Linked DNA regions of Saccharomyces cerevisiae S288C. Changing the gene in region 3 together with the main gene of any one other region gives a genetic interaction. Each region holds a gene or a part of one and is shown on either strand. Other genes may lie near its edges.

Region 1 (12,187 bases), on a different chromosome or scaffold from region 3:
TTTTATCTTTAGTTGCCTAAATACTATTTATTTCGTCAATTTTACAACCTCTTTTATATACACCATTCGATTTCCCACGAAGTAAAATAATAATTCTATAAACAGATTTATCTGATATGCTCAATTTCCCCTCCCATTTTCATTATTGTCCTTCTTGCTCTTCCTCGATGTCAAAATTAACCTTCAGCCATAAGCTGCATGCGCTACATTGGGTTAATAATTGATAACCAGAATGACTCCGTTCCATAGCGTCTACATTATCAATGCATTCATCTAACAAACTCTCACTAAAATGAAAACCACCAACAAATTGACAGCGAGGACAATTCATCATAAACTCCAGCTTATCTTCATCAAATGAGAAATCGTCTAAGGAAAATTCATCCAGCCCATCACCACAATTATGAAATCCTTGGCGTTTATAGTTTTCAAGGATCAACCTATCATATTCGCGACGAGTTTTTATATTCGATAGTATTTTATAAGCATCTTGAATCTTATTGATTGTGACGTTGCTAACCGTATCATGTATGCTTTTAGAAAGTTTATCGGGGTGCGTATTTAGTAACCGATTCCTATATGCCTTTTTGATTTCATCTTGTGTTGCATCCGATGGAATTCTTAAAATTTCGTAGTGTGTTAACGAATTCACCAATGACATTTTCGCTAAATTTTCACACCAAAAGAAAGATTAAATTGGAGATAAATACAATACAAAGAGCGTGGTAAATTTCTTAGTTGATTGCGCTTATCTTTTGGCACCGATAGTGGTTTTTACAATGGTAAGACTAGTAACGTCACATCGAAGTCATCGCATCCATTTACAATTTTTCTGAAAATTTCCATCTCCAGTTACCCGCTCATAAATCTTCAAGAAAAGTCAATGATTTCCTTTTCTACCTCTAGCAGCTCCTTTAATCTTTGATTTAGATCGAAAGTCCTGAAAAAGCTACATGTAATATTAATACTTTGTGAAACGTAAACTAATTATATGTTCTATATACGTTATTCTACGGTTCGCATTTTCTTTTTATGGCGCGTCTGTGCATTCCCAATCGGTAGGCTCATAAGCATCAGGATGATCAAGAAATTTCATCTGTTCGTCTGACAGTTCAAAGTTGTAGGCTGCAAGGTTACCTTCTAACCTCTTCACAGTTTTAGTCTTCGGTAGTGGTAAATAACCGTGTTGTAAAGACCAACGAATCAAAACTTGACCTGGATTACGGTCCACCTCTTTGCAAACTTTTAATAAATCTGGATTAGTCATTTTGTAGCCGTGACACAATGGGGCAAAGGCTTCGACGACGAGACCTTTAGATTTACAGTAATCTGCTAATTCTTGTCTCATAATCCAAGGTGATATCTCGATTTGGTTGACCACTGGCTTGTGCTTCAGTTCTGGCCAGTTCAAAAGTTCATCAATGTGCTTTTTCCCATAGTTGGAAACCCCTATAGACTTAACCAATCCTTCATCAACCGCTTCTTGCATGGCGCGCCAAGTTTCCAACCTTAATTTAGAACCTTCCAGTGGCGAATGAATCAAAAGAAGATCGATGTATTGCAAGCCCGAGACTTCATTCAAACATTGCCGAATGGCAGCTTTAGCTCTTTTATATCCGTTTTGCGAATTCCATAATTTAGTAGTGTAGAAGATTTCCTCACGTTTATGGTTCCCTGGATCTTCGTTCAACCATTTAATGATACCATCGCCAACTTCCTTCTCATTACCATAAAGAACAGCAGTATCGAAATGACGGTAGCCGCACTTGACACCTTCATACACAATTTCGGCTGTTTGCGATCTTGGAATATCGTAGGTTCCCAAAGCAATGCTTGGGATTTTGAAGCCGTTTGAAAGTTTGTAAAACTTAGGAACCATGTTGTTGAGGTGAATTTTTTTTCTTCCTTCGGGCTAGGTATGCTAAGTTAATTACTAAAGTAAGATCAGTTGCTTATGCTCTTATATATTGGAGGTTGCGACAAGGGATGAAAGAAAGAGACACCTCCCCTCATATCGACACGACGGAATATGTATGATAACTACTTCATTGTTCTTTTCAGCACATTATTACTATTTACGAAAAAAGGGAGTAGGGAAAAATGGCGCGCTTATGGAGCCTCAAATAAGGACAAAAAAGTCAAGTAATGAATATCAAATTGAAATGAGTATGCTTACATAGATTTATTTGGTTTGTTTTCATTTTGTTTTTGTTTCTTATGTTGCTGCTTTATTTTGTGTAGGTAATAAGGAAGAATAGGGCGATTAATAATTGATCTTCTAGCCTATTTCTATTTTTTCTTTATTTCATTTTGTAGTCCCATTGTTCATCATCTACTTTAATGGCTTTGGCTTTGGTGTGTCATTCTTCTTGAATATACCCAAATTTTCTAAATGCTCCCTTACATATTCATAAACGGTAAAGGTGACAGCCTGACCTGGAGCCACCCTCATCACTCTTGGGGTAATACCCTTGTACAAAGCTCTAAAACCTTCTTCTTTCAGTAGTTGAGCACCAATGGTTATGATTTTCTTCATACCGGACTGTTTTTCCAATGAGATGGACTTATCCTTTTGCAGCCTTGTCTTTATAGTATCCAATGGAGCGTTGGAAAACGGCCCAATAGCACCCGAAATCAAACCTATGCAAGAAGTTTCCCATGAAGGTAGGACATCCATCTGATGGTAATTCTGCAAAAACTCCTTCAGTTTAGAATAAACTGTGAAGTTAGCACCCTGATTAGTTGCTTGCCTTGCCGCAGTTAAGGAAACGCCTCTATATAAGGCAGAAACACCTTCTTCTTTGACAATAGTGTAGGCTGCATGAATGGCGTTGTTATATTTAGGACCAGCATTTGGCTCACTCGGAGTTAAATGCTGAGCTTGTAACCTAATCTTTACAACTTCCATCGGGTTCACGACAAGAACAGCTTCGGTGATACCAGCCCCAACACCAGCAACAAAAGTATTACCGGTAGACACAATTCCTGATTCCTTGTTAACCAATAAGGTTCTATAGAATTCATAAGACGAGAAACGGATTGCCATCTTAGGTATAATACCGATGACCACAGCACCTAGACCTTTATACAGAGCCAAGAAACCTTCTTTTTGATAAATGGTACGCCCAGTTTTAATAAATCCTGGGGGTTTAACATGTTCAATACCAGCTACCCGTCTGTATATTTGCATTCTCACCTTAATTGTATCTAAAGGATGACAACACAATGCTTCAAATAAACCTGCTGTGCCGCCAGCCATGAGATTGATGGCTGGATGGGAAGCCTTCTTTTTTTGAGACATTTTTCTTTCTTCTTCTTTGTTATGTTATCTTACGGCTAAAACTAATATAAACTTCTTTCTTGAATCAAGTATTCTTAGTTTTAGTAATAGGGAAGATGCCAAGTTTCTTTCAATGACTCAATTGATAATATCTTCCAAAATGCTTTGCACTTTACTTATGAAGCAGATAGAAAACAAAGGGGGAAACGCCAAGAACAAGAAGAACTACAACAAGAAAGTTAACAAAACGAGAACAAGTAGTAAGTGAACTATATATTTATACATAAGATATATGCAAAATGTGACATTACGGTTTGTAAAAGGTAGTAACTCCGTGGCGACAAGAATCTCAAAGGATTGGTTAAAAGATAGCACCTCGAGCAGTAGTACTACCGTATATCATCATTGCCTCCATCATCACACTTTATTATGACAATGAGGACTAATCATTAACACCGACCCATCAAATTTGGGCCCTTCGTCACAATTAAGGTCCGTTTGCGGTTTACCGGGACTAGGCTGGTACTGTCATACGATGTGGTATCTGGTAGACATGGGCGGTTAATAATTCATGGCTCATTCGCCAACGTCCATTTCTCCGGGCGGGCGCTACTAAAAAAATAATGCTCCATTCAACCGAGATGATTCTCTAGTCTCCCCTCGGGTTCATCGAAAAACGCCCCTCTTTTCCATTAAACCGAGGGTGCTGTCAAAATTTCTTACTAAATCACGTGACAAGAGGCGGACTGGAAATCAATCGCCTTTTGCTCTTACCTGCAAGTGAGTTTAAATATCCGCAATAATTATGCTAAAGTTTCTTTTTTACAGTTCGTTGATGTACTGATATGGTTTTATGTAAATTAACAAATACAAAACATAGTCGTTATGGAATAGATATACCTAGTGAAAGCCAAGAGAAAATGAATGAAAGAAGTTTAAGCTTCAACCATTTCTCTTAATCTTCTGATGGTAGATCTAACAGTAGCGGCAGCTGCAGTAGAAACAGTATAAGCACCACCGGCAACGGTCTTCTTACAACAGGAACAAGTCCAAATACCAGCTGCACCTCTCTTAACAGTCTTCTTACCACAGAAGGAACAGTCATATCTGGCATGTTGTTGAATTTCAAGCTTCTTAACTTGTCTTCTCAATGATGAACCATAACGGACACCGTATTTACCTGTGATACCGACCTTCTTTGTTCTCTTAGCCCTGCAAAAAAAAAAAATAAGATGGAAATATTTGTTAGTAAACTAAAAACTTGCCTTATAACTGATTCGATGTAGTCATATTGAGTTGTGGTGGACCTACAGTGAGATTGCCCCAAAAATGCGCTACCATCTATCCTGGCTTATCATTCTCCTCAACTGCGATATTTCGTGGTTTATCAACCCCAGCACTTTCTATTTAATTCAAATCTACCACGCATCTCCACTAACTCCAATATAAGAACATTTAGTCATCCAATTCCTCTATTATATGCATACATTTTTTTGTTTGATTATCTATGCTGTTTATAATATCGTATATAGTTAATGAATAACCCTACAACACGAAGGGCAGTAATATATTCTGATTCTCAGTTGAAATTTCAAATTTTTCAAGCTGGTCTTACTCGGCAGGTAGGAACTTCCCAGTGGGTCTGAGTTTTCTCTCCGGAAGGTATTTATCATTATGCACGACAAGTGCGATTCAATCGAAAGATTATAAATTTCGCGATGAACAACATCTGATAAAAAAAAAATTAAAAAACAATAATCTAAATGATATGTATGGGTTAAAAAGGATGTATGGATGGAGGGTTGGCATAAAAATGAAAGGCAGAAGATGGGCGGCTAAAAAGGTATAGAGATCGTACGTCACCGTCACAAAAATCACTCATAGAATGCACTATCATCCTTACAATACCATACCAGCCGCAAGAAAAAAAGAAAAAAAAATCAATTCATATCATATATTATCTATATCATGCTGTTCTTTCCGCCACGGCCCGTATGGTGTTGGAGTAATTTGATTAATGTATTCCCTCACGGAGGTTCAGTAGATATTCTCAATAAAAGAAGGGTGGGGGTGTATTTGCTGCAAGAATGCGGATGTCAAAAGAACCTCAAGAAGTCCACTAAATGGCAGTAAATGCCGCGCTTACATTTTTAGCGACTGCCGAAAACGTACGGCTAACTGCTGTACCTCAAAAGCATAAAATTGTGATGTTGATTAAAACAAGTAGGCGTTGCATATATAGACGTGGGTAGGAAAAAAGTGAGCGCCAACACTATATAAGAAACCGTTTCTGGATACACCCTCGTGAAGAAATAGGGTCCTGCATTGATATTTTCAAACTTATATAATTAATAATAATTAATAGCGCTTAGTTTAAAGAATTTGAACTATTTTTTGGCCAACTTGGAGAAAGAATGTGTACTTGATTATTGGCATTCCGCGTATTTACGCGGGGATAAAGAGAAAACAAAGGAGAAAAGGAATTTCCTCAATTCCGATGACTAGTACCTCCGAGCAAGCAATCATCGGCGAACAGATGTAAAAAGAGAGTTTTAAACACTGAGTTTTATTTATCAAGAACGTACCCGTACAGCTATCGTTTCAGGCAGATAACAAAAATGTGATTGAAATTAAAGTAGTTTTGTTTGGAATCATGATAATTAAATATTTCATTAATTTGAAGTTACTAAGTAATGAAGCTAGCCCGAGAAACGCAAATGCTCAGAGAGCCCGGCAGTAATTGTGTACACAGAACTATACAAGCCGCTGGATAAAGCTTATTCGTTGATGTCATCCGCTATTACCTCTCCTAATCATGGCTGCAGGAAATCTTTTCTCTCAACATCTTGTACCACTTTAAAATGCGGTAGCAAAGGACAAACGGTAAAACGTTACACTGCCACGGTGTTATAGCAGCCGCAAAGTGAGTAAGCATGTGATGGTACCTTCAATACTGCGTTGGAGAAAAAAAGTGCGTATCTTTGTTTACTTTTCGTCTTCGAGGGGAAGGATCAAAGGCGCATGCGTGCCCGCAGGAGGGGGCGCCAGGATTGGGGGTAGATACAACATCAAGGAAGCGTCATGGTGGCTTCTTGGGTCTTAAATACGCAGGGAATTAAAGTTTCATTTATGTGCCTTTACATGCACTCAAAAACCTTCTTAGTTACAGGAAAAGGTAAAGATACGATAAGAAAAGCCTTTGAACTGCCCATCCTGCATCCTAACACAGATCTAACTCACTATTCGGGTAAGGAAGTGTCATGCATGTCTGCAAAGGGACTAGAAGAAAGTTACATGATTACATAAGCAAAAAATCGGAATTACAGACACACCATTTTTTATCCTGCGGCCCCATTTCCGTCTTCGAGGGAAAGGATCAAAGGCGCTTAGCCCAATCTTGATGATTCACCGGGGAAGAAAGGAATTACAGAACCCCCAGCCACGTAACACAGCCAATTAGTTTTCTATATCGGGAAACGTGATTGATTGCGCAATTTTGGCTGCATCAGAATACATCGATGAGATCTAGAGCACCCTTTGATGGTTTAAGTCCGGTTTAAAGTTAGTAGATCAATGATTTCGTAGTGCATTTTAAAGGGAGCGCTTATCCATGGGTGATTGCGTTTACAACGTTTTGTGTGTACTCATAATAGCCAATCTAAAATTAAACAACAACAACAACGCACAATTAATATGTATCAGCCCCAATACCTTTTTCTCTTACTGTAATTTACTACTAAATTGGGGTCGGACGTTTTTGATCTTGTTCCTTGCCTGTTGTTTACCTTGTATATTACTTTTCCTCTTTTATGTATTTAAGGTAAATTAATTATCTTTTGATCTTAATATTTTTCTCAAAATGCTTCCCTTGTAGTTCGGTATTTTTGCTTCTTCAGATATTTAAACTACCGTATACCATAACTGTTTCGTGAAGTAGATACAAACATCGACTATCCTATTACGATTTATTTTACATTATCATATTATAAATCGACCAGTAGTATTGTTAAAGATTAAAAGCATAATATACTACTGTCATTAGTCACCTACAGAGAAACAAATTCCTACTGGCACCCATTACTGGTGAAAAAGGAAAAAAATAATAAAAGAAAAGCTTTTCTATTCCTCTCCCCACAAACAAAATGCAAGCGGATATGCATGGAAAACTTCACGCTGCCTTAGAAGATGGTTTCTTCCTCTTTCCTTTTGAACAGCAACAACAACCTAACATTTATTATGACACAACCACCGATCAAGAAGACCGTCCTTGTTTTTCTTTTGGATCTACAATTTCCCCTAGAAGTTGGCATTTTGAAAAGTCTGACAAAATTGCCTCATCTCAGCTGCAGAACTTGGTTCATACACAACCAATTCATTTAATTAATCCTCAAATATTGTTCAATGAAGAGTTTCTGAATTTGGAAAATATTGATTCTCAGCCTATTTCCAAGGAAACGAAAACTACGAAGGACTGCACAATGGCAACTGGTCCTGAAAGAGGAAAAAAGAGCTCTGAAAGTACCAGATCCTCTTCATTATCATCTCTTTTTTCTAATGATGAATCCGCATCTACGTTCCACTCATCATTCAATAACCATGATAACTTTCAAAAGAGCAACAGAAATGGAGATGATATCGATATTAGTGACACAATAAAATATGAAACTAATACAAATGCACAAAAAGATATCAAAATATTCCAAGAAAATTTTGAATTCAATGAATTCCCATACACACAAGACTTCTACCCATATACCACTAATTATACCTATTCAAAACCCACAAATATTCATGAATCAATAAATTCAAAAAACACGGATTCATACTCCCAATATCAAGATCAGTTTCCACCACATACTGATAACATACATTCCTTTAATAATCGTCACTATAGCAACCATAAAAGCACTAATTGTAATTACTATAATAATACCAGCAATAATAACAACGCCTCCGATAATGTATATGAGGCAGATCCATTTATAGATGAACCTCAGGTGCCCTCCTACTATTACCCATTAGAAATTGCCTTCGACGTTGAAAAATCACCACCGCCATCACTACAAAAATTAAATTCAAAAGAGTTAGAATTCCTAAAAAAGTTGAACTCCAAACTGTCAAGATATGCTGCGGCTTACTCCTTCAGCAGTTCTAATGATCAAGATTATTATGACAAGGTCAGGTTTCAAGAAATATCCTACAAGTTTAGTAAAACCTATTCTTAATTCTCGAAAAGTACTACAATCTTCCCCCTTCCCTCAAAATATATCCATTCACACTCATTTCTTTATTTCCATTGTCTCACTCAAATTGCTAAGAATTTGTGTATTTGCATATATATATATTATATATAGGTATATATATGTATTCAATGTCTCAAGCTCCATGACATAATACCGTAGCGTTATTAGCCTTATCGTATGTCGCGATGGGAAAGGAGATTCGTTTTAATCTTGAAAAACCTTCGTAGCGAATAATGCGACATAAATCTTGAGAGAGTACATCACCAAATTCACTTTGTTAAACCGCACCATCGTGCTTTGCATTCTTATTCCTTTTGCCTACACTAAAATTATTAGCATTTCTCTAAATGAGCTCCAGTGAAGACGAAGACGACAAGTTCTTGTATGGTTCCGACTCCGAATTAGCACTACCTTCATCTAAACGATCAAGAGATGATGAAGCAGACGCAGGTGCGTCCAGTAATCCTGATATAGTTAAAAGGCAAAAATTCGACTCTCCCGTGGAAGAAACTCCAGCTACTGCCAGAGATGATCGTTCTGATGAAGATATCTACTCTGACTCCTCAGATGACGATAGTGATTCTGACCTAGAGGTTATCATAAGTCTGGGTCCTGACCCTACTAGGTTAGATGCAAAACTACTCGATTCTTATTCTACCGCAGCGACATCTTCAAGCAAAGACGTAATTAGCGTAGCTACAGATGTATCCAATACCATCACAAAGACATCAGATGAAAGACTAATAACAGAAGGAGAAGCAAATCAAGGTGTAACGGCAACGACCGTAAAAGCTACAGAGAGCGATGGAAATGTACCGAAAGCAATGACTGGTTCTATAGACCTGGATAAAGAGGGAATCTTTGATAGTGTTGGCATAACGACAATAGATCCTGAAGTATTAAAGGAGAAACCCTGGAGGCAACCGGGGGCCAACTTAAGTGATTATTTCAATTACGGTTTTAACGAATTTACCTGGATGGAGTATTTACATAGACAGGAAAAACTACAACAAGATTATAATCCTAGGAGGATCCTAATGGGCCTATTATCCCTCCAACAGCAAGGGAAGTTGAATTCCGCGAATGATACAGACTCAAACCTCGGTAATATAATTGATAACAACAACAACGTAAACAATGCAAATATGTCTAATCTGAACAGTAATATGGGTAATAGTATGTCTGGAACACCAAACCCTCCCGCTCCACCAATGCATCCAAGCTTCCCACCCTTACCTATGTTTGGTAGCTTTCCACCATTCCCCATGCCAGGTATGATGCCACCCATGAACCAACAGCCTAATCAAAATCAAAATCAAAATTCGAAATGAATGGGGATCTGTGAAATTGAAATAAAAATATATCGTCCATGATTCACGTATTTACTCTTATTATGTGTATTTAATTAATCTTTAAACTAAAGACCTCTCAGTCATCAGATTATATGCTGTTTTCATTCCATTAATCACCTTCTAATTAAAATCTTGCTTCAAATTATGACCGGTTGTTCGAGTCTTTTCCTCCTCAGCTAACTTTTCACAATACTTTTTCACCCAGGGTTGATGGAAAACATTCAACTCAACAACTTCCTGGAGCTTATTGTACCAATCACTTTTTTCCTCATTAGAGCATTCCGCGTTGAAAGTAATTCTTTCACCATCGTCAAATACTAGCTGGAAGCATTCATTAAAGAGTACCCAATCTGTAAAATTCCTTTGCCCTCCATTATCCGCCTGGATGTCTTCATTACGTAGGACTTTCGTGACTTTCAACAGATTAATATCGATCTTAGCCTTTCTAGAGATTTCATGATAACCAGAAAGTTGCGAGCCGTGCAGTTTGAAAAACCTGTTTTCTATCTTTCCTTTCAGATCACCACCATCCTGCAATAAATACCCTTCTTTATAGATATTTTGTTGCAACTTGTATTTGGAAACAATCTTATTGACCAATGAAAATTGTTTGGGAAATTGTTCAAAGGCAGAAGTTCTTTCTAAGAAACATGCTTCCACATCCAACGAAGCCACTTTGTGAGGCGCCTTGCGTGGTAACTCGTACAGCCTTTTTGAGCCGTGAATTTTGTCTGCGATTCTACTCCACTTGTTAATCATATTGTAATGCATATGACTGGTATTAAATGCCACGTTTTTCAAAAACTCTTCATTAATTTCAATTTCACAACGAGCAAATGAACCGTCTTGTGCAAATAGATAATCCCACTCATCTTGTTTAGGTTTTTTCTGTACATACTTCTTTTCAAATTTATACTTTGTCTTTCCAAAAAAACTCTTACCCACCGGCACCTTGTCTACTATTTCGACCAATTCATGTCGAGGTTTTTCATATTTACATTTTAATGTGATAACACATTTTTTGTAGCTATCTCTTTCAGAAGAAGCGGAGGATGTTTCGGCTTTTCCTTTAAAATCTATGGGCAATTCAAATTCCTTATTGATCCTGATGTTACCGTCATACGGAAGCGACTCCCAGGGTGTCTGAACGACATTTTCCCCATTGTCAAAAACAATAGCATATGTTGCTCTATGACTCTTAGTTCCATATAATGCAAGCGTGGAAATAGCCTTTATACTTAAATAAAGTGTTCCCATATCCGGAAATTCTTGTTCAACGTCTTGTGGTTCTTCAAGTTGAGTTATCGTTTCTTCTTTTGCTTCGACGTTATCTTTTGTCTGCGCTAGCAGTGGAGGAATATCTTGTTTCAAACCATCGGTTTCTTGCTGCGTCATTGGCTCTATTTCCTCTTCAGCCTTAATGTTTATTTCATTATTCTCTTGTTTGTTTCCAGCTTTCACGACCTTGAAAGGACTGCTAACATGCCGTTTTATTGGACTTATACTACGAACTGGAGTGGAAGGGGTCATTTTATCTTCTTCGAAATCGTCGAACATGTTCAAAGTGATGGCATCACTATTATTCATGCCCTCTGGACGAGAGTCAGTATCGCTGAAACTTGCCTCATATCCTTTAATGCTTGCAGCTAGCGCAATTGAAACATCCTTAACTGGTGTTTTCAGCATTCCAATCCCCAAACCAGTCCTTGGTTCAGTTATACGCTCTTCTCTAATTTTTTCCAAATCTGCGTCATCTTTAGTATCTGATTCTAATAATTTTTGCAGGACGTCGGGGGCAATAGGTTGCTTTCTTATGGAAGGTGGCGGTTTTAGTTCGTAACTGCTTTCCCAAAGAGAATTGAAGCTTTTCTTTGAACTGTCTCTTTGAAAACTGGATGAATCATCCGGCCCATGATTGAAAGATGTGGAGTCATGATCCAAAGCGTCTAGAAAATTAGCAAAATCCTGACCCAATTCCTCATCAAAGGATAAAGATAGTAAATCGCCCCTATTAAAAGTGATATCACCCGCACTCTCTATTTCCCGAATGGAAATTTCAGCTTCGTCCTGGGTATTGGTTGGTAATTTCTGTTCATCGAGGCCTACATTTGTTGTGATATCTTGTTCGCTTAGGTGCGTACTTAATGGGATATTTTCGTGTTCTTGCGGTTGTTCTACCTCCAAGAAATGATTCTGAAAACCAGAATCTTCGCCATTAAGTTTCATGATGCTTGGCCTAATAAGTGGAGCGTGACCCTTTTGAGTTCTTATGTTATCTTGAATCCTTTTAGAGATGAGTGTATTTCTTCTCA
Region 2 (11,624 bases), on a different chromosome or scaffold from region 3:
GGATCGATCAATACCGTCAAATCAATAGTAGCCTCTGTTGTCGCAGTGCCATACGCACGTATATCTGATCGGTTTGGACGTATAGAATGCTGGATTTTTGCGCTTGTGCTCTATACTATTGGAGAAATTATTTCTGCTGCTACTCCAACGTTTTCCGGACTTTTTGCAGGTATTGTTATACAACAGTTCGGTTATTCTGGATTTCGTCTTCTTGCTACAGCACTGACTGGTGATCTGTCTGGATTGAGAGATCGTACATTTGCGATGAACATATTTCTGATTCCCGTGATTATAAACACATGGGTAAGTGGAAATATTGTTAGCTCAGTTGCTGGTAATGTTGCACCATATAAATGGCGTTGGGGCTATGGAATTTTTTGCATCATTGTGCCCATCTCCACCCTAATATTGGTCCTTCCCTATGTGTATGCTCAGTACATTTCCTGGCGCAGCGGTAAGTTACCACCATTAAAATTGAAAGAAAAAGGACAGACCCTGCGTCAAACGCTCTGGAAATTTGCGGATGACATAAACTTAATTGGAGTCATTCTTTTCACTGCTTTCTTAGTTTTAGTATTATTACCTCTCACAATAGCTGGTGGAGCCACCTCCAAATGGAGAGAGGGTCACATTATTGCAATGATTGTGGTTGGTGGCTGCTTAGGTTTTATCTTTCTAATTTGGGAATTAAAATTTGCTAAGAATCCATTTATCCCACGAGTATATCTAGGTGATCCAACCATCTACGTTGCATTGCTAATGGAATTTGTATGGCGTCTAGGTTTGCAGATTGAGTTAGAGTATTTGGTCACCGTGTTAATGGTAGCATTCGGAGAATCAACATTAAGTGCGCAGCGGATAGCTCAGCTTTACAATTTTCTACAGTCATGCACTAATATTGTTGTCGGCATTATGCTGCATTTCTATCCTCATCCGAAAGTCTTTGTAGTCGCTGGGTCGCTTCTTGGTGTCATCGGAATGGGTCTTTTGTACAAATACAGGGTGGTATATGACGGGATTTCGGGTCTTATTGGCGCTGAGATTGTGGTCGGTATAGCTGGTGGTATGATACGTTTTCCTATGTGGACGCTAGTGCACGCTTCAACCACCCACAATGAGATGGCAACTGTCACTGGGTTACTAATGTCCGTTTATCAAATCGGAGACGCAGTAGGTGCTTCCATCGCTGGTGCTATATGGACTCAGCGTCTGGCAAAGGAGTTGATACAGCGACTCGGCTCTAGTTTAGGGATGGCAATCTACAAATCACCACTCAATTATCTAAAAAAATACCCTATTGGATCAGAGGTTCGTGTTCAGATGATAGAATCCTATTCGAAGATTCAACGCTTATTGATAATTGTGTCCATTTCGTTTGCGGCTTTCAATGCTGTTCTCTGTTTTTTCTTGCGTGGCTTTACTGTAAACAAGAAGCAAAGTCTTTCCGCAGAAGAACGAGAGAAAGAGAAGCTCAAAATCAAACAACAATCATGGCTCCGTCGTGTAATTGGATATTGAGCTGGAGAGTACTAGCGATACAAATATAGTGTTAAGCTCTTTCCTGAACTAGAATTCTCTTTGAAATAATCACTGTTAATGTAAGTAGTAATCAATAATGGCGTGTAACAGTATAATATTGTTGTCTGAAATAAAAAACAACAAAAAGTTCGAATTAGTTTTATTTTATTTTTCTTTTCTAACTAAGTGAATATCCATACGTTTGTTACGTTTATTTCAGCAATATTATAGTCTTAAATGGGCTTGACAATACAAAAATCAATGAGATTATTCGCACCTGTCATTTCCCGTAGTTTTTATAAAGAAATATAAAAAAAAATGTTGCGAAGAACTTTTACTAGAGCGTAAACGAATTAAAAAAAATTAGTAGTGTAAATATAATCACCACCTGCCGTAAGCCTGCTTGAGCCCTTTATTATTTAGTTTTAGCTGTTGCTAACCTGACTTTCATACTTCTTATAATTGACGTCATAAAAAATATTCAAAGTTCGAAAGAATGAAGAAAACATTGACCGACTTAAAAGAAGCAGTAACCCCACGAAATTTTAACCAGTGCTGATTGTGCGAGAAATCGACTCCAACAGTCTCAGATCAGAGAATATATGAAATATTAGTGGCCCCATACTTATAATGGTTCGCTGATTAATGTATAACAAGCGTGAAAGTATGTATAGCTGCACGGATTGTAGATAGAGCTCATTTAATATTAGGTATTTTGCCCATGTCATTTTTGTGCAAGTCATTTTCTCCTTTGGAACTAAATTTTCTTTAAAATATCTCATATACAAAAAATCCTAACTCACAAGTTAATGTTTTCCATCATAAGTAGACGTTTATTTAAAACATGTTATTATATATTGATCCACTCTTTGCAGTGTCGTTTTCCTACAAAAATTAGATACTTAATCTTGAGGAGTGTAGAAATAAGTGAAGGCGACATAAAGATAGAGAAACAGCCATGAAATTTAGTGAAAGCTGACACTCAAGAATTAGGAATGTAATAAGATAATGAATCACAACATATAAAATGGAAAGTGAAGTAATAATACTATTCTATAGAATAATCGACGATCCTTCATGAATTGCTATATATCTGAGGAGAACTTCTAGCATATCCTGCATACCTAATATTATAGCCTTCAATAATAATGAAAATCCTAACAATTATCCAATTATTCACCAAATTCTCTATTTCAACAGTAGTATTATGGCATTGATTATATTGCAAGCTATAGATTCGATTTCATGAATTCATAACACTCTAAAAGAGAACTTCTGCAATACTCTGTACAAATAACATTATTACTTTTACTAAAAATAGATTTCCGGACACTAACTTTTGAATTCTTATCAAAGCAGTCGAATGCCGCGTCCTACGGTTTATGTATATAGATTTAAAAATACACGTTAAAGACTGTTTTCTCCATAATTCTTGTTTAATATACCTATGAACATAAGCGAGTCAATCAAACTCGGGAGTAAAATGCTTTAAGGCACGCCGCTTAACCTTTTAAAATACATGTCTGAACATTATGTAACCAAACTAAAATTGCTTTTAAATGGATCCGCGCAATATCTAAAAACATTAACTATAAAGGATAAAAATTTTGGACAAAAAATAGCAGTAGCATGTTTGCTTCCTAAGCGTTTGAAGTCAAAACCATTTTTAAAAGGGTAGAGAGGCTTAGTAAAAAATGGTTCCCTTATTTGGTTTATTTTGCATTTTTTCTCAATTGTACTCATTATGCTCCGCATATGTTGATATCACCAGCGGTTACCAAGTATTTTTCAACTTGCCAACTAATATGACAAACAATCAAATATGCTGGCTATTCCAAGCATCTTACTATGATATTTATTCTGATAAAAGTGGTAGAACACTTAGAACGGGACGGTTTGAACCCGGCGATCAGCAATCTTTGATTTATAGGGATACCTTAGTTGAGTTGGAGGCTATTACAGATTCTTATGAGTACAGTAACCTAGATCTATCGACTTATAACGGACCTGAGCCATATAATTCTGAGACTGATTATTGTACAGATATAATGGATTTGGTAATGCGTGTATATGATGAAGAAGGACATTATGTTCATCCAGTTGCGAATAACTCAACAAATGCTTGCGCTCATCCAACTCCTCCTACGTTAAACAATCTATTGATAAGTAATTATTCTGACGGAAGAAATTATAAAGAGTCTTCTATATAATGGTGTAGTAAGGATACTGGAACCCTTTTATGACACATTTAGCAGTAAGATACATTTTTGGTTGATGTGATCAAGATTTTTTAGTTTGTAGATTTATTATATAGCACTGGGACATCATTAACATCGCACTTTCGAGTTAATGTATGTATACACAACATCGAGGAACAACAGCATCTAGGGTTAATGACATTGTATTGTATACTTTCGTTGTGCTAGTGGTGGCGTGATGCAAGAAGCTGATACATACCTGAAAATGAAAGAGGACGTAGCTATACGGTGTTTGTGGACGAGTTCACATACAGTACTGAAAAAGATGAGGATGGGCTGAGATAAAGTTTGAATGATAATGAATATTATTACATCTTCTTTCATTTTATATACCGTCATTCATTATCCCATGAAATTATCAAGCCTCGCGTTTCAACCTCTACTAAAATCGTTGACTGTTTCTCAATATTTATGTCTTTCTTACGTTGTATACGATAATATACACGTACTATGGATACTAGTCGATATATGATAGTTAATTCTCATTCCAATAAAAGTCGACACTACCGCTACCACCTAAAGTTATACTGTTTTTATGCGTGCGTACGCAACAGTTCATCAGAAAAATGTCTATCGTCAGAATCATCCCTCTGACATTTCAATTCCAAAAAGATTGCTCTATCTTTGGAAAGTGGCTAAACCTAGGAGTATTATAAAACTCACAAGTTCTTAGAACTTGCTTCGAGAGATCATAACAGGACAAGTATAATACGAGACGGAATAAGATTATCATACCAAAGATACAAAATAAAACAATTGGTAGTCTAAGGTGACAAAATTAACTGAAGCTGTAGCTAGCAATAAAAAAAAGATTCAAGATGTTCAGGGAGTGACGTATATTCCAATGCTTCCAATACAGCAGGCTTCAAGATTGTTGCTTCACTTTCAGGGCGGTGATTTGAAAGCAAACTCCCAAATTTACACTTAATTCTTCTCCTGAGCTGTTCAATGCAAAATGCACAAATTGTTATTTCCCATATAATAATTCCAGTTGACAGCACTATATCTAAAGGTTTCCGTATAATGATGATTTACCGCGTAGTATCATATAAGGGAGTAACAACAGCATTAATTATCGTGCCATTACTAAAAATAACTTAAGCATCAAGCGTAAATTATTGAACTCCAAACTCTATCAAACACTTAAAATAAACCAATATTGAAGAAAATTCGCAATATGTTGTAAAGATTCTGCTGACTAGAAATGGCAGGTAGGATTTTTTTTTTCTATCTAAAATGGTAAGATGAGCATTTTTTACTTGGAACGAGTGTAAAAACAGCAAGGTTACAGCCACATAATTCTCTAATAATACTGATGGAAAGCCGTCTTATTCGGAAGCTGTGAGTATTTTTTTCGTTGATTTGTTGCCAAAAAAATCCATGCAGAAGTGTACTCACTGGTTTTCATTTACCTTTTCAGCAGCACACCTGCCTGCCCCTTATTTTTAACGATTTCTTTCCATTTAGCGTAACTGCTGCCTCGGATTATTATGGTGTTTTTCCACCAGCTCTGCTTAAAGCGTAGAGTTCGCTTGTCTTCTCCCTCCCATCAACAGGAATTTTATTGATCGCGTAATTTCCTACCGACAGTTTGCAGAATGCCAGGTCAGACAGATTAAATATTAAATGAATAGCCCCATAGAATAAGTACTATATATACGCTGCTAGTTTCTTTGTTTTGTCGAGTTTGGGACCAAACCAATACCATTTGTGGAATCACTGCACATATGCAATACTGTGAACTCGATTTATCAGGGCAGTGGCTGGATACAGTATATTGTGAAGAGAATTTCTCCGACTTTGTCTTTATAAAGTTTCTAAATCCTTCACAGTTTGAAGAGAAGATATATTGTTATACTTTACATATCACCAAAAGGACACTAGAAAATAAGAGATTACTTTTGTATTATGAAGATGAATTCAAAAAACATGGTCACGATATTAATGAGCTTGTTGGCGACGGTATAATCTTGCGTTCATGCTGGAACCCTCGACAGTAATCAGACCGAGATTCATGCGTATGCTAGCTCTGTTGTCGACTCAGTAAACTTACAGCAAACCAATGGTACTATCAATCTAATCATAACTGAATTCAATGGTACTACCATTGGCTTTGATACAAACGTTACCAAAATTAATATTCTTGACGCCGACTTTTCTTTTCTTCGCCAACAAGTCAACCAAGAAATGCTAAAAAGAGGAAAAGGGTGTCTTAACGCAAGGTATCGTATCTCGACTGGAGGTTGTACTGATTGCGGTAAATCGCTCGGCTATTCATCTGCACACAATTGCGGTGGAAAGGGCTATTCATGCATTAAAACGTGCACAGAGAAGAATGGTCATGTTTGCTGTGAAGAGTGGTGTGGATCCAAACGCGCTGTCCAAAAAGAGGGATTTGAGAGTGGATGCTGCTTTAATAATCAATGTTACGGTGGCCATGACCACCATGATGAGCTTTAAATAATAAAGTTTAGGTAATATATATAAAGTGGGATAGTATACAAGCAAGAACGTATTAAAATAAAAGCTGGAAAAAAAAGTCACCAAAGCACGCATCTATGTGATGGCTTATTCAATCTTATATAAAGAAGAGCAATAATCTTGGGCTATTTTTGACTGAGAAAACTCTGTTGTTGGCCATTTTTAGAAAGAAGCACCCATTTTTTTTCCGATTTCCTATCCTACTCACCTGGTAATTGTAACAGTGCTTTTTCAGTTCCATCATGTACTTTCGCCTCTTAATACGATTAAACACAGCTTTAGACCAGTTTAAAGAGATACAGTGATTAAATAAGGTGGTCTGCAATAGAAATATTGGAAATGATATGTTATGATAATTTTCCAATGTAGCGCTATAAAATTGGCAGCCGTATATACCTCTTGTGCAGCTCTGAAGACAAATGAATGCTATATTTTCCATACAAAACTGTCATATAGAATCGTGCAAGAAAGAAATCACCCCCTTATGTCTAATAGTAATGTTTTTAGAATTGCTAATTTTTAAAATACCAGTACTTCTTCTATTAAGAAACAGATTAAAGCTCTTGGTGCATGCATGTTTATTCTTGAAGAGTATTTAGCAGAATGCCCACCCACACACTGATAAAATTGCTGATTGGAAGATTATCTTCGTCTTAATTCTTAAATCCTTCTTATAAAAAGACTATCAAATACAAGCTATTCTGAGTTCTCAATGAGGTAAAGTTTTTTTTTTTCTTTTTCTTTTTTTTTTTTTGATCTCTACTTGAGTTATTATGACGTATAACTTGTTTGTTTATTCCTCTATACTCAATTTTCATTTTTATTTTGGATCATATGGTAAAGGTCCATGATCATCAGGATCAACTAATCGAATAAAGTTTAAAGATTTCAAATCGTGTCTATAATACGATAAAAACAGATGTACTGATGCTCTTATCAGAAGCTTAGAACTACAGAGAGTTTTATAAAAATATGCGAGTGTCCAGCTCCCGTGTACCTTTTGCACTTAAAAAGTACCACATAGTAAAATCATATATTTCTTGTGGACTACGAAAGACCAAGTGTGATAAAAAGAGGACGATTTTGTCAGTAATAATTCCCTTCAGATTGTACATATACAGACCCGGTAGAATTAAACTGACTTGGTGATAAGCTCTACAGTCGAAACTCTTGATCAATTTGCTAATAGTGACTGTTTCACAATTAAAATTGTTTTGGTTATTTTTAGATATGATGTTTGAATGCAATACAAATTTCTGTATTTTTTGGGATCGTTTTACGCATTGAAAGCTTCAAACCTCATAAAACCTTAAGTTTATCGTTAGTCTGACAGATACCAATAAACCTATGTTTGTCTCACTTATTTCTAATTATTTTTATATAAGTTGAACGATACTGACTACCGTCCAATGTTATACAATATAAATCTTCAACATTAATAAATTCTTTTTAAAAAACCCTGTTTATGTTAAGTTAAATCATAATGAAGAAGAATCTGTCCTACTTTTTCTATGCCTGTGTTTCCAAGGAGTGGTTTAACCATATCAACACAACAACGAGTAGTAAATTATTGCTATCATATGTTTTTGGATGACGAAAATCAGAGCGATAACATATGTGCCTGTTTTTTAAAGCAGAATTAAGAATACGTTTACCATGGAACGGTGACTTACAACGAATCACAAAATGGTTAGAATTGTAAACCTCTACGACTGCCTGCGACTCCCAACACATGCTTCTTTCCTCATTTTTTGGTATGGAAAAGGAACTGTATTTCATGGGTTTAGAAAAAAAAAAGAGTTTCTCTATAGTGGGGCTGGTTGTCAGGCATTCTTTGAACGGAGCTTTCGTGGCCTTTTGTTCTCAAAGAAATCCCTGTCGCCTAGATCATTAAACGTTGAACTTTGGAAATACATTCAAGAAGCACAATTGAGCTCTGACGGTGAGCCGTTACCATAAAGATAGAGACATTTCTTTTGACGTAGAAGCTACAAGGAGTATCAATAATTAATGTATTTCTCCTGGAGAACTTTTTTAAAATAGAATAAAATAAAGTAGCGCTATCTATTGCCGTTTCACTTTTCTCCTTCATATCTGGCTAGAAAAGGGGGATTGCATCTCGGAATCAAATATTTCCCTCTGTGTAGAGTTAATTCTGCCACTAAGAAATGGTTACAGTTTTATTTTTATCATACACGATTCTTTGAATATCAACTTCTGTCAATACCATCCGCCTTCAGCGGCTACAATTACGTAATTGCACCAAGATAATCGCCGAGAGTTCACAGATTTGCAGACCCCAACAGTATACGACTCCCGACACACGTCTGATATCTTGTACGGATTTCAAGAGATAGAAATATTTCTTCCATGGAGATCGTTTAGAAAACACCGAATAAAGGCTTAGACAATAAGCTTCTGAATGAGCGTTCAATTCAGACGTTCTTTTTTTGACCAAAATGGAAGCATCACAGGCACGCGAAAAGGGTTTTTTCAAGGCACATCTCGACACCCCTACAATTGGCATTCTCACTTCCCCCACATACGAATACACATAGGCACCATAGAACAATACCTTCGCATAAGAAATTCATGATATATGCATGCCTCGTTCAGGAACAAGTGCATCTTATTTTTAATGATGAAGATGGTGCGAAAGATGAAACATGAAAGGTGTGAAGTGATAAATGAGCATCTGTTAACAAATCGTTTAAGTAGTGATGACTGATGAAGGCATGGGTATAAATAGAGCTGCTTCAACTGTATGTCTTTGAGAATATTTTTTTATTCCTTTCTTTCCTGTTAAGCTCATATCAGCACTAAAAAACAAAACAAATATAATGGTCAAATTAACTTCAATCGCTGCTGGTGTCGCCGCCATCGCTGCTGGTGCTTCCGCAACCACCACTCTAGCTCAATCTGACGAAAGAGTCAACTTGGTGGAATTGGGTGTCTACGTCTCTGATATCAGAGCTCACTTGGCCCAATACTACATGTTCCAAGCCGCCCACCCAACTGAAACCTACCCAGTCGAAGTTGCTGAAGCCGTTTTCAACTACGGTGACTTCACCACCATGTTGACTGGTATTTCCCCAGACCAAGTCACCAGAATGATCACCGGTGTCCCATGGTACTCCACCAGATTAAAGCCAGCTATCTCCAAGGCTCTATCCAAAGATGGTATCTACACTATCGCAAACTAGAGACTGATGCCTTTACGAATGAAAATCCATAGACAGTGAAAAGTAATGAAAAATAAAATAAAAAACTACTTTTTTTGATGATATAAATACCGTTGATTATATAAATGTATATTAATATTATAAACATATTTGATCAATGACGGTGTTCGTGAAGCATTTTATGAATATGATAAACATAGAAAGAAATTTTACACTATTGTAGAAAAAGCGTGGACGGTAATAAAGCTAACAGAGTATGTCCAATAAACAACAATGAAATTGGAAGCGTATGACTTCGCAGCACTTTGTCCTTCCATAAAAATGAGTCGCTGCTTCTTTTTTCATTTTTTGGCGCGTCGCGTCGGGCCGTATAGAATATGCGTCACTTCTAAGAACATGATTGCAGATCAGGGCAGTGCGAGCTACAAGTCATGGTATCAGACTCTCATTTAGAGACCCTCATTTTTCGACACGTAAAATATCAAAATTTTTGGGTTGGCACAGTTTTTTGTGGAACCGACCAAGAAAACCAAGATTTATAGCAAATTATAAATTTCAAATCTCGAATATTTAACTCAACAATATAGTGAATAAGCTCATCATACCCTAAACAAACCTAAGCAATCACCTAAACATATAATTAAGGAAAAAGAGTGATTAGTTCATAAACACCAACGGCAATAGGGTAAATATAAGTCCTTAATCCATCTTATTGAAAATAGTATAGAACATTAAATGAAAAAAATGATTCACAAACTTAAAAAATACATAACATGGAGATTGTATCCATATTTCTACATAGTTCAGTGATAGAATCTAAAATCGAGTCTACGTGAACCAGCATCACTAGTAGTACTTAGATAGTGGTCTTTTTCCTCTTCTGACATTGCATTCCACCTCTTATCCCTCTGCTTGTTGATATAGACATAAATCAATTTGCTACCAATTAATATTGGAAACATAAAAAGTGCCAAACCAAAAAGAACTCCATTTCCCTTACGATAGAGTGGGGCATCGCTTTTCGCATAAATGTTTGAGGATATGATGAGACCTGCTTGCACGAACATATTGTACAAGCAAGTAGATACTGTTCTTGTTTTAACTGATTGGGAGTTTCTAGAACACAAGGATACACAAATTGCATGGATATACGGATTATCTAATATTAAGGTAATAATTGCATAAGTTCCCCATTTATTAAACATTGTACCTTTCCAAAAGCGAAGAACTGCAAGAAGAGGAACAGTGTACAACGGTTGTAACAGACTCAAACCTAGCCTGTTATTACATTTTTCTGTCGACCATGTTAAACCAAACAGCAGGAGAATATGAAGAACAAAGTTAGGAATAGCTAGCAGGTTGGCTTGAAAGGTTGTGAAACCGATACTTCTCAATACCAAAGTCAGGTATGTGGCCAAAACGTTCGTAGGGATATAAGCCAAAAGGCCCATCAAGTAGATAGGCTATATATAGTAATCTGTTATCCCCTGCCATAACATTTTAAGTGACATACCTTGCCTATTGTTCATATCCCCTTTTGTCGGATCATCTCTCAGAATCTTGTTTACGATGATTTTTTCTTCCCTCTCAGTGAACCATCCTTTCTTGCTCCAAGGTTTCTTCGTTTGAACTACGGAGGGTACCATCAAGAAGTATGCACTGATACCGATGACTAAAGTGAAAATTCTTTCTATCAAAAAAAGCCATTGCCACCCTGCCATGCCACCTATCCCTCTCATGTGAAAAACCCCGAAGGCCACAATTGAAGTGATGATTTGTGTTAGAGATAGTGTCACCCAGAAGAACGACAGTCTTATTGACAATTCTGAAGAGCTGTAGAAGTACGACATCCAGAGAACCAAATCAGCCACAAAACCACCTTCAAATAGGCCCATAAGTGCTCTACATGTATAGAAAGAACTCTTCCCTGTCATTTTGCATTGCAACGTAGCCACTAGGGACCACGCTATCATTTGCAGAGGAATCCAACTATCAGCTCCTAGTTTCTTCGAAATGAGTTGTGAGGGTAATTCTGCACACAAGAAAGTCAAGTAGAATATGGTGTTTCCAACGTTATAATTGTTAGCATTTAAACCCAAATCATGCAATAAGTTATCGGCGACCGCTTGTGACAAATTACCTCGATCAATCTGCAAGGCCACAAATAGGAAACATGAAAGGGGAG
Region 3 (7,030 bases):
TGAGCCATTTACCCATAACTCCCACGATTATCCACATTTTAATATCTATATCTCATTCGGCGGCCCCAAATATTGTATAACTGCTCTTAATACATACGTTATACCACTTTTGCACCATATACTAACCACTCAATTTATACACACTTATTTCAATATACCCACAAAATCACCACCAAAATCACCTAAACATAAAAATTATTTATCTTTCAACTTTACGAAATAAACATATTGACTTGAAGTATGAGCACTACCATAACGTCATTAACGTAAAAGTTCCTTAATATTACCATTTGCTTGAACGGATGCCATTTCAGAATATTTCTAACTTTCACAGACCATACATTAGAATAATATGCCACCTCACTGTCGTAACACTCTATATTCACCGAGAAACAATACGGTAGTGGCTCAAACTCATGCCGGTGCTATGATAAAATTGTATCCTATTTCCATTCCCATATGCTAACCGCAATATCCTAAAAGGATAACTGATGCATCTTTAATCTTGTATGTGACACTACTCATACGAAGAGACTATATCTAAAGAAGACGATACGGTGATAGGTTTGTTGTTTTTGTAGGAGTCAACGAAACGCCAAATAATTCTACGGTAATATAACTTATCAGCGCCGTATACTAAAACGGACGTTACGATATTGTCTCACTTCATCTTACCACCCTCTATCTTATTGTTGATAAAACACTAACCCCTCAGCTTTATTTCTAGTTACAGTTACACAAAAACTATCGCAACCCAGAAATTTTGATATTTTAAGTGTCAAAAATGAGGGTCTCTAAATGAGAGTCTGGTACCATGACTTGTAACTCGCACTGCCCTGATCTGCAATCTTGTTCTTAGAAGTGACGCATATTCTATACGGCCCGACGCGACGCGCCAAAAAATGAAAAAAGAAGCAGCGACTCATTTTTATGGAAGGACAAAGTGCTGCGAAGTCATACGCTTCCAATTTCATTGTTGTTTATTGGGCATACTCTGTTAGCTTTATTTCCGTCCACGCTTTTTCTACAATAGTGTAAAAGTTTCTTTCTTATGTTTATCGTATTCATGAAATACTTCACGAACACCGTCATTGATCAAATAGGTCTATAATATTAATATACATTTATATAATCAACGGTATTTATATCATCAAAAAAAGTAGTTTTTTATTTTATTTTTTCATTACTTTTCACTGTCTATGGATTTTCATTCGTAAAGGCATCACTCCCTAGTTTGCGATAGTGTAGATACCGTCCTTGGATAGAGCCTTGGAGATAGCTGGCTTTAATCTGGTGGAGTACCATGGGACACCGGTTATCATTCTGGTCACTTGGTCTGGGGCAATACCAGTCAACATGGTGGTGAAGTCACCGTAGTTGAAAACGGCTTCAGCAACTTCGACTGGGTAGGTTTCAGTTGGGTGGGCGGCTTGGAACATGTAGTATTGGGCCAAGTGAGCTCTGATATCAGAGACGTAGACACCCAATTCAACCAAGTTGACTCTTTCGTCAGATTGAGCTAGAGTGGTGGTTGCGGAAGCAGTAGCAGCGATGGCGGCAACACCAGCAGCGATTGAAGTTAATTTGACCATTGTATTTGTTTTGTTTGTTAGTGCTGATGTAATCTTAACAAGAAATAGTGAAATGAAAGCGCATACCTCAAAGGCATATAGTTGAAGCAGCTCTATTTATACCCGTTCCTCCATCTGTTATCACTACTTAAACGATTCGTTAACAGATGCTCATTTAGCACCTCACATATTCTCCATATCTCATCTTTCACACAATCTCATTATCACTATGAAGATGTTCTTGTTTTTGAACGAATCATACATCTTTGATAGACTTCGTATGTGGAGTACTGTTTTATGGCACTCATGTGTATTCGTATGCGCAGAATGTGAGAATGCCAATTATAGGGGTGCCGAGGTGCCTTGAAAACCCCTTTTGCGCGCCTGCGAAGTTTCCGCTTTCGGTCAAAAAGAAAATCCGAATTTAGATTTAAGACCCTCGTTCAGAAGCTTATTGTCTAAGCCCATATTCAGTCTGCTCTAAACGGCTTCCATGGAAGTAATATTTCTATCTCTTGAAATCCGTACAAGATATTAGACGTGTGTTGGGAGTCGTATACTGTTGGCGTCTGCAAATTCGTGAATTCTCCGCGAATGCCTTGGTGCAATTACGTAATTGTAGCCGCTGAAGGCGGATGGTTTTGAGAGAAGTTGATGTTCAAAGAATCGTGTATGATAAAAAAGAATGTAACCAGAAGCAGGATTAAAACTCGACGCAGAGGAAAATATTTGATTCCGAGATGTAACCCCCCCTTTTCTAGCCAGATATGAAGGAGAAAAGTGTAAGGGCAATAGATGGCGCTAATTTATTGAATCCAATTTTAAAAATGTTCTCTAGGAAAAATATTAATAGTTGATCCTCCTTGTAGCTTCTAAGTCAAAATAAATGTTTCTATCTTTATGGTAACGGCTCATAGTTACAGCTCAATTGCGCTTCTTGAATGTATTTCCAAAGTTCAACGTTTAATGATCTAGGCGACGCAGATTTTTTTGAGAACAAAAGGCTACTAAAGTTCCGTTCAAAGAATGCCTGACAATCAGTCCCATCAAAGAAAAACTCTTCGTTTTTCCAGACCCTCTTTTCAAATAATCGTGTATTCGTTTTCCTTGCAATTGTATCCCATTTTTCAGGGCTAGCACCCTGCTCGTTTATAATATCTGATAGGTACTGCATTTTATCATCAACTTTCATCGATTTAGGCCTTATGTTTTGAAAATCATCTATCATTCTAAAGAAAATGTCTATTAGCCAATAAGATACCAAGCATGCTGGTGATAAATTTGCACAAATAAAGAAGTCAGACATATCAGGAAGGAAGTCTAGTGGAGAGAAAGAAATCCTGATTCTCTGGCAACTCCATGCTAGCTTGCAGCGATAGGTTTCCTTAGGAAGCTTGACATTTTCCAACATAGTAAGTTTGCATTCCTTCTTACCATGGATCAACCTCCACTGTGCGTTTACTTTTGTAAAATAAACCTGCACCGCGTCTTCGGTGTAAGGGACCAAAATCTCAATTGAACTGAACCTAGGATCTTCGTTTTGTCTCCTCAAAACAGCTGGCTCTAGAATGGTTTTCCTGAATGCTTCTTGGCAGTCAGTACCATTAAAAAAAAAATGTGCAGTTTTCCATGCTTTGTTTTCATACAAGTAGGAATTGAAATGTATTGCAACAGCGTCCCAATCAGCAGAGTATGCACCTGGTGCACTTTTGATGATTTCTTTAGAAAGCTGGGTGAGTTGATTTGATAAAGTATATTTACTGTACTGTATTTGAACTACTGGCAAAATAGCAATTAGCGCCAGGATTAGAACTACTGAAGTCAGAAGGGGATAAAACCAAGTACTGGCCATCCCCCACCAAACGGCAAGCGGTAACCATGATAGCGACCAGATCCAAAATCCTGAGTTGCGAATCTCACTGCACAACCATGTTAAACGGTTTCTGAAAATATCCTCGGGCAAACAAAAGCTACTATGGGTCTCAAGACCTTTAGAGGACAAAAGTCTAATCTCTTCCCCCATATTCAATATAGTGTATTTCACATTAATGTTATGAGGTACGTAACAAGTTTACTGAGGTTTAATCACTCGCAGTGTTTTTTATATAATTCGCAAGATGAAATTTGTTGACAGCGCGTTCATCACGCAGCTGTTGAGTTTTATAGTTAAAGCCACGATCAAAAAAAGAGCAACAGCTTCGAGCAGTTTCGAGTGAAAGAGAATCTATGTTGGTTTATGTTCCGGAAGCACGGGAGAAATGGACTTCACTCAAGTACCCAAGTTATCACTAAAATGTAAGTCAATGTATGTTTACAGATACGAGCTGCGATGTTTTATAATACATGGTACACAATAGGTGAAGTATTGTGGCTTATTTTTGAATTATCAAACAATGTAATAGCTTTCCAAAGCATACCATATAACTCCTATGAATTAAGCGGCGGTCTCATTATAAAGTCGGGACACTTTTTGGTCAAAGCTCTCGATTAGTTTTTGAATACTGTGCAAAGTCTTTAATGATATTGTCATCAGTTCATAATCGAATTCTCTGGTACATTTTTTCTTATTTTATTGATCAATGTTAATGTCAGTTTGCTGGCTCTTGTTTTTTTTTTTTTTTTTTTTTTTTGACTGTTAGTTAAGTTGCCCAGCTAAGCTTACTCAATGAGTTAAGTATTTATTTTCATATTTTCATCATAAAATACTGCGCTATCTCGTGCCCTCGTCTCTTATACAATAGGCAGTACTTGACTAGAATCTAGGAGTGCTTTTCCTGAAACTCTCTATAATAACAACCCATCTCCCGCCGATTGTATAGTGAGCCAAGTGTTCTCATAATGGGGGTCTTGAAGAAGACTTCAATGGTGTCTCATAGTAGCAGTACTAGTAGTGCTAGGAAGATGAGCATTGTACAGCTTACTTTTCGTTATTAGTGATACATGACTGAGTGATTGTAGTTGGTAATACTGGATTAGTAATCGTTAAAAAGCGATAAAAATTAATTGAATGTCCACCCTGCATGATTAGTCCTTTTTATCTGGCTGGACAAATGAAGCCTATTATAAGTATTAATATATTAGCTGCTGCAGACTAGAAACGAAAGCAGTGATAAATCATTGATAGACACACATTTCCTCATCGTTGTTCTTCATTATTTACAGGAAAGAGCAGAGAAAGGAAGAAAGAAATTGCAAAATATATGACAATTAACACAAAGAACATAGTTGTTGTTGGTGCTGGTGTGTTTGGTGTGTCTGTGGCAAATCACTTGTACAGGGAACTGGGTGGGACATACGCAATAAAGCTCGTCACAGCATCTAATTATGTGTATTTTCTACCCTCAGCTGTCCGTTTGACGGTTTCAAAGGATTATACCAAGTCGATCCTGCCGTTAAAAAATGTTCTTGATAGTGGTATTGAAGTTATCAAAGATACGGCTGCCAGCTTTGATGATAAGGAGGTAGTTTTGGGGTCAGACAGGGCCATAAAGTTTGATATCTTGGTTCTTGCAACTGGCTCAAAGTGGGCTGATCCAATTGGTTCAACTTATACCTTCGGGGATAACTATAAAGAGTATTTTGAAAGAGAGGCTTCTCGAATCTCAGATGCAGATCACATACTTTTTCTTGGCGGTGGCTTTGTTAATTGTGAACTAGCTGGTGAATTGTTATTCAAGTATTTGGAGGAGATCAGGTCTGGCAAAAAGCGTATTTCCATTATTCATAATTCCGATAAGCTACTGCCGGACTCTGGGTTATACAACGATACCCTAAGAAAAAATGTGACAGACTATCTCTCAAAAAATGGTATTACGTTGTACTTGAACACAGTAGGGGCTTCTTTAGACACCTCGCCGAAACGTATTTTTCTAGGTGAGGGCTCATCTAAATATATAGATGCTGATTTGATTTACAGAGGCGTTGGTATTTCTCCAAATGTGCCGGTCAACAGTATTTCAGACCTTTGTGACAAGAAAGGGTTCATTCAAGTTGAAAAAAACTTCAGGGTAAAAGCTGTTGAGGCAGGAAACGTTTTTGCCATTGGTGATGTAACGAATTTTAGATATCACGGATTGGTTAAAAGAGATAATTGGGTTGATGTTTTGACCCGAAATGTTATAAGTTCTTTACAAGAAGGAACAGAGGCTAGTCTCGTTGATGCAGATTGTCTTGAGACAGGACATGCCCCAAGTGGTGTCTCCCTTGGGCCAAATGCAGGGTTTGGCCAATTTCCACTACCGTTACTTGGGACGATTAATATTCCATCGTTTTTAATTTCTAGAGCAAAGTCGAAGAATCTTTTCTCCGACAAAATGGAACCTTTATTCAAAAAATAGACTAAAATATGAACTGCAGCGTATATATATATATATATATATATATATTAGTTTCTGTATTGTGAAACAAAGAAGGCCGCTGGAAACAACAAATGTTGAACTTCGCATTCAGATAATAATCTATTAAAACCCGAAGTTACTCGAAAATGTTAGCTTTGGATTCTCACACTATATGTAGTTTCTTTGACAGTAGTAAAACGGTATTACACCTGTGCATTAGAGTTATCAATCGCTTGATAACAATTTGACATTTTGGAGGGTCCATGAAGATAGGTACTGATTTTACTCGAAGTGTGAATGTTTTATACCGAAGTTTTGTTATATAGAGATACAGATATCAACAGGATTGACCACCTTCTTTTTTAAACCTAGTATAATGGGGACGGTGAGAATTAACAGTTAAGGTATAGGCGTGATGCCATGGGAGGGGCAAATACGGAACTGGAGTAAAGTATTGTGTGGTTTAGGTGCTGGGAAAAAGAAAGCATTAGAATGCTCAATAAAACAGCGGCTTCCCGCATAATATTTTTTTGATTATTTCATTCCGAGAAAGGCCGATATATGCAGAGGCTACGTGTTGCTTGCCAACTTCAGTATACTTTGCTTGCCACTACCAGAAATTGACCCCGGGAACTTTATTTTTTAAGTGCCTAAAACTTATTTTCCTGCAGGGCGCGCAATAAATAAGGGATATAGCAAAACTTGAAACGTGGGGTAGTTTCGTGCCTTCTTATGTGCCTATCTTGATTTTTGCCTTTGTACCTGAGTCTCCTTACCCCGCGATACCCCACCGTATAGTCACTTTCCCTTGGCACGGGCTAAAATGACCGTAGGATGAGCTCAGCAAACAGTTCATTCCACGTACACTTTTCTTTTATTTTTAGCTCGCCACTTTTTTGATTCAACACTCCCCCCCATGATACGTCATTTTATAAACTTTTCGTGCGGACGTGAACCAATTAAGCTTGCGCATCAGTGGTGGATATATGGACGGATACCTCGTATATTCTGCTGTGGTGGTCGGAGAGGGCATCGCAAAGTCTAGAAATAATCAAGAATCACTTTTAGCGTTTCCAAATAAGTTCGAAACAATCATATTCTAGGAGGAAGGAGGTTACAGTG

What was found.
Region 1: mutations in COS10 (region 3) and RPL43B together harm fitness more than expected from each alone (negative genetic interaction), as found in Saccharomyces cerevisiae (one large-scale study listed by BioGRID).
Region 2: mutations in COS10 (region 3) and YOL159C-A together harm fitness more than expected from each alone (negative genetic interaction), as found in Saccharomyces cerevisiae (one large-scale study listed by BioGRID).

Annotation. Positions count from the first base shown.
Region 1 is NC_001142.9:600,887-613,073, reverse strand, and holds RPL43B (60S ribosomal protein eL43 RPL43B), read right to left. Parts: upstream 4,770-12,187; coding exon 4,768-4,769; intron 4,493-4,767; coding exon 4,216-4,492; downstream 1-4,215. Other genes in the region: JJJ3 (Jjj3p), read right to left, coding at 143-661; YJR096W (aldo-keto reductase superfamily protein), read right to left, coding at 1,031-1,879; SFC1 (Sfc1p), read right to left, coding at 2,333-3,301; transcription factor IME1, read left to right, coding at 7,423-8,505; cleavage polyadenylation factor subunit FIP1, read left to right, coding at 8,871-9,854; BUD4 (Bud4p), read right to left, coding at 9,996-12,187.
Region 2 is NC_001147.6:9,385-21,008, reverse strand, and holds YOL159C-A (uncharacterized protein), read left to right. Parts: upstream 1-5,503; coding exon 5,504-5,776; downstream 5,777-11,624. Other genes in the region: ENB1 (Enb1p), read left to right, coding at 1-1,518; CSS3 (Css3p), read left to right, coding at 3,213-3,728; YOL160W (uncharacterized protein), read right to left, coding at 6,355-6,696; seripauperin PAU20, read left to right, coding at 9,098-9,460; YOL162W (uncharacterized protein), read right to left, coding at 10,243-10,890; YOL163W (uncharacterized protein), read right to left, coding at 10,903-11,412.
Region 3 is NC_001146.8:776,480-783,509, reverse strand, and holds COS10 (Cos10p), read right to left. Parts: upstream 3,595-7,030; coding exon 2,470-3,594; downstream 1-2,469. Other genes in the region: YNR077C (uncharacterized protein), read left to right, coding at 1-223; seripauperin PAU6, read right to left, coding at 1,230-1,592; YNR075C-A (uncharacterized protein), read left to right, coding at 1,907-1,999; AIF1 (Aif1p), read left to right, coding at 4,772-5,908.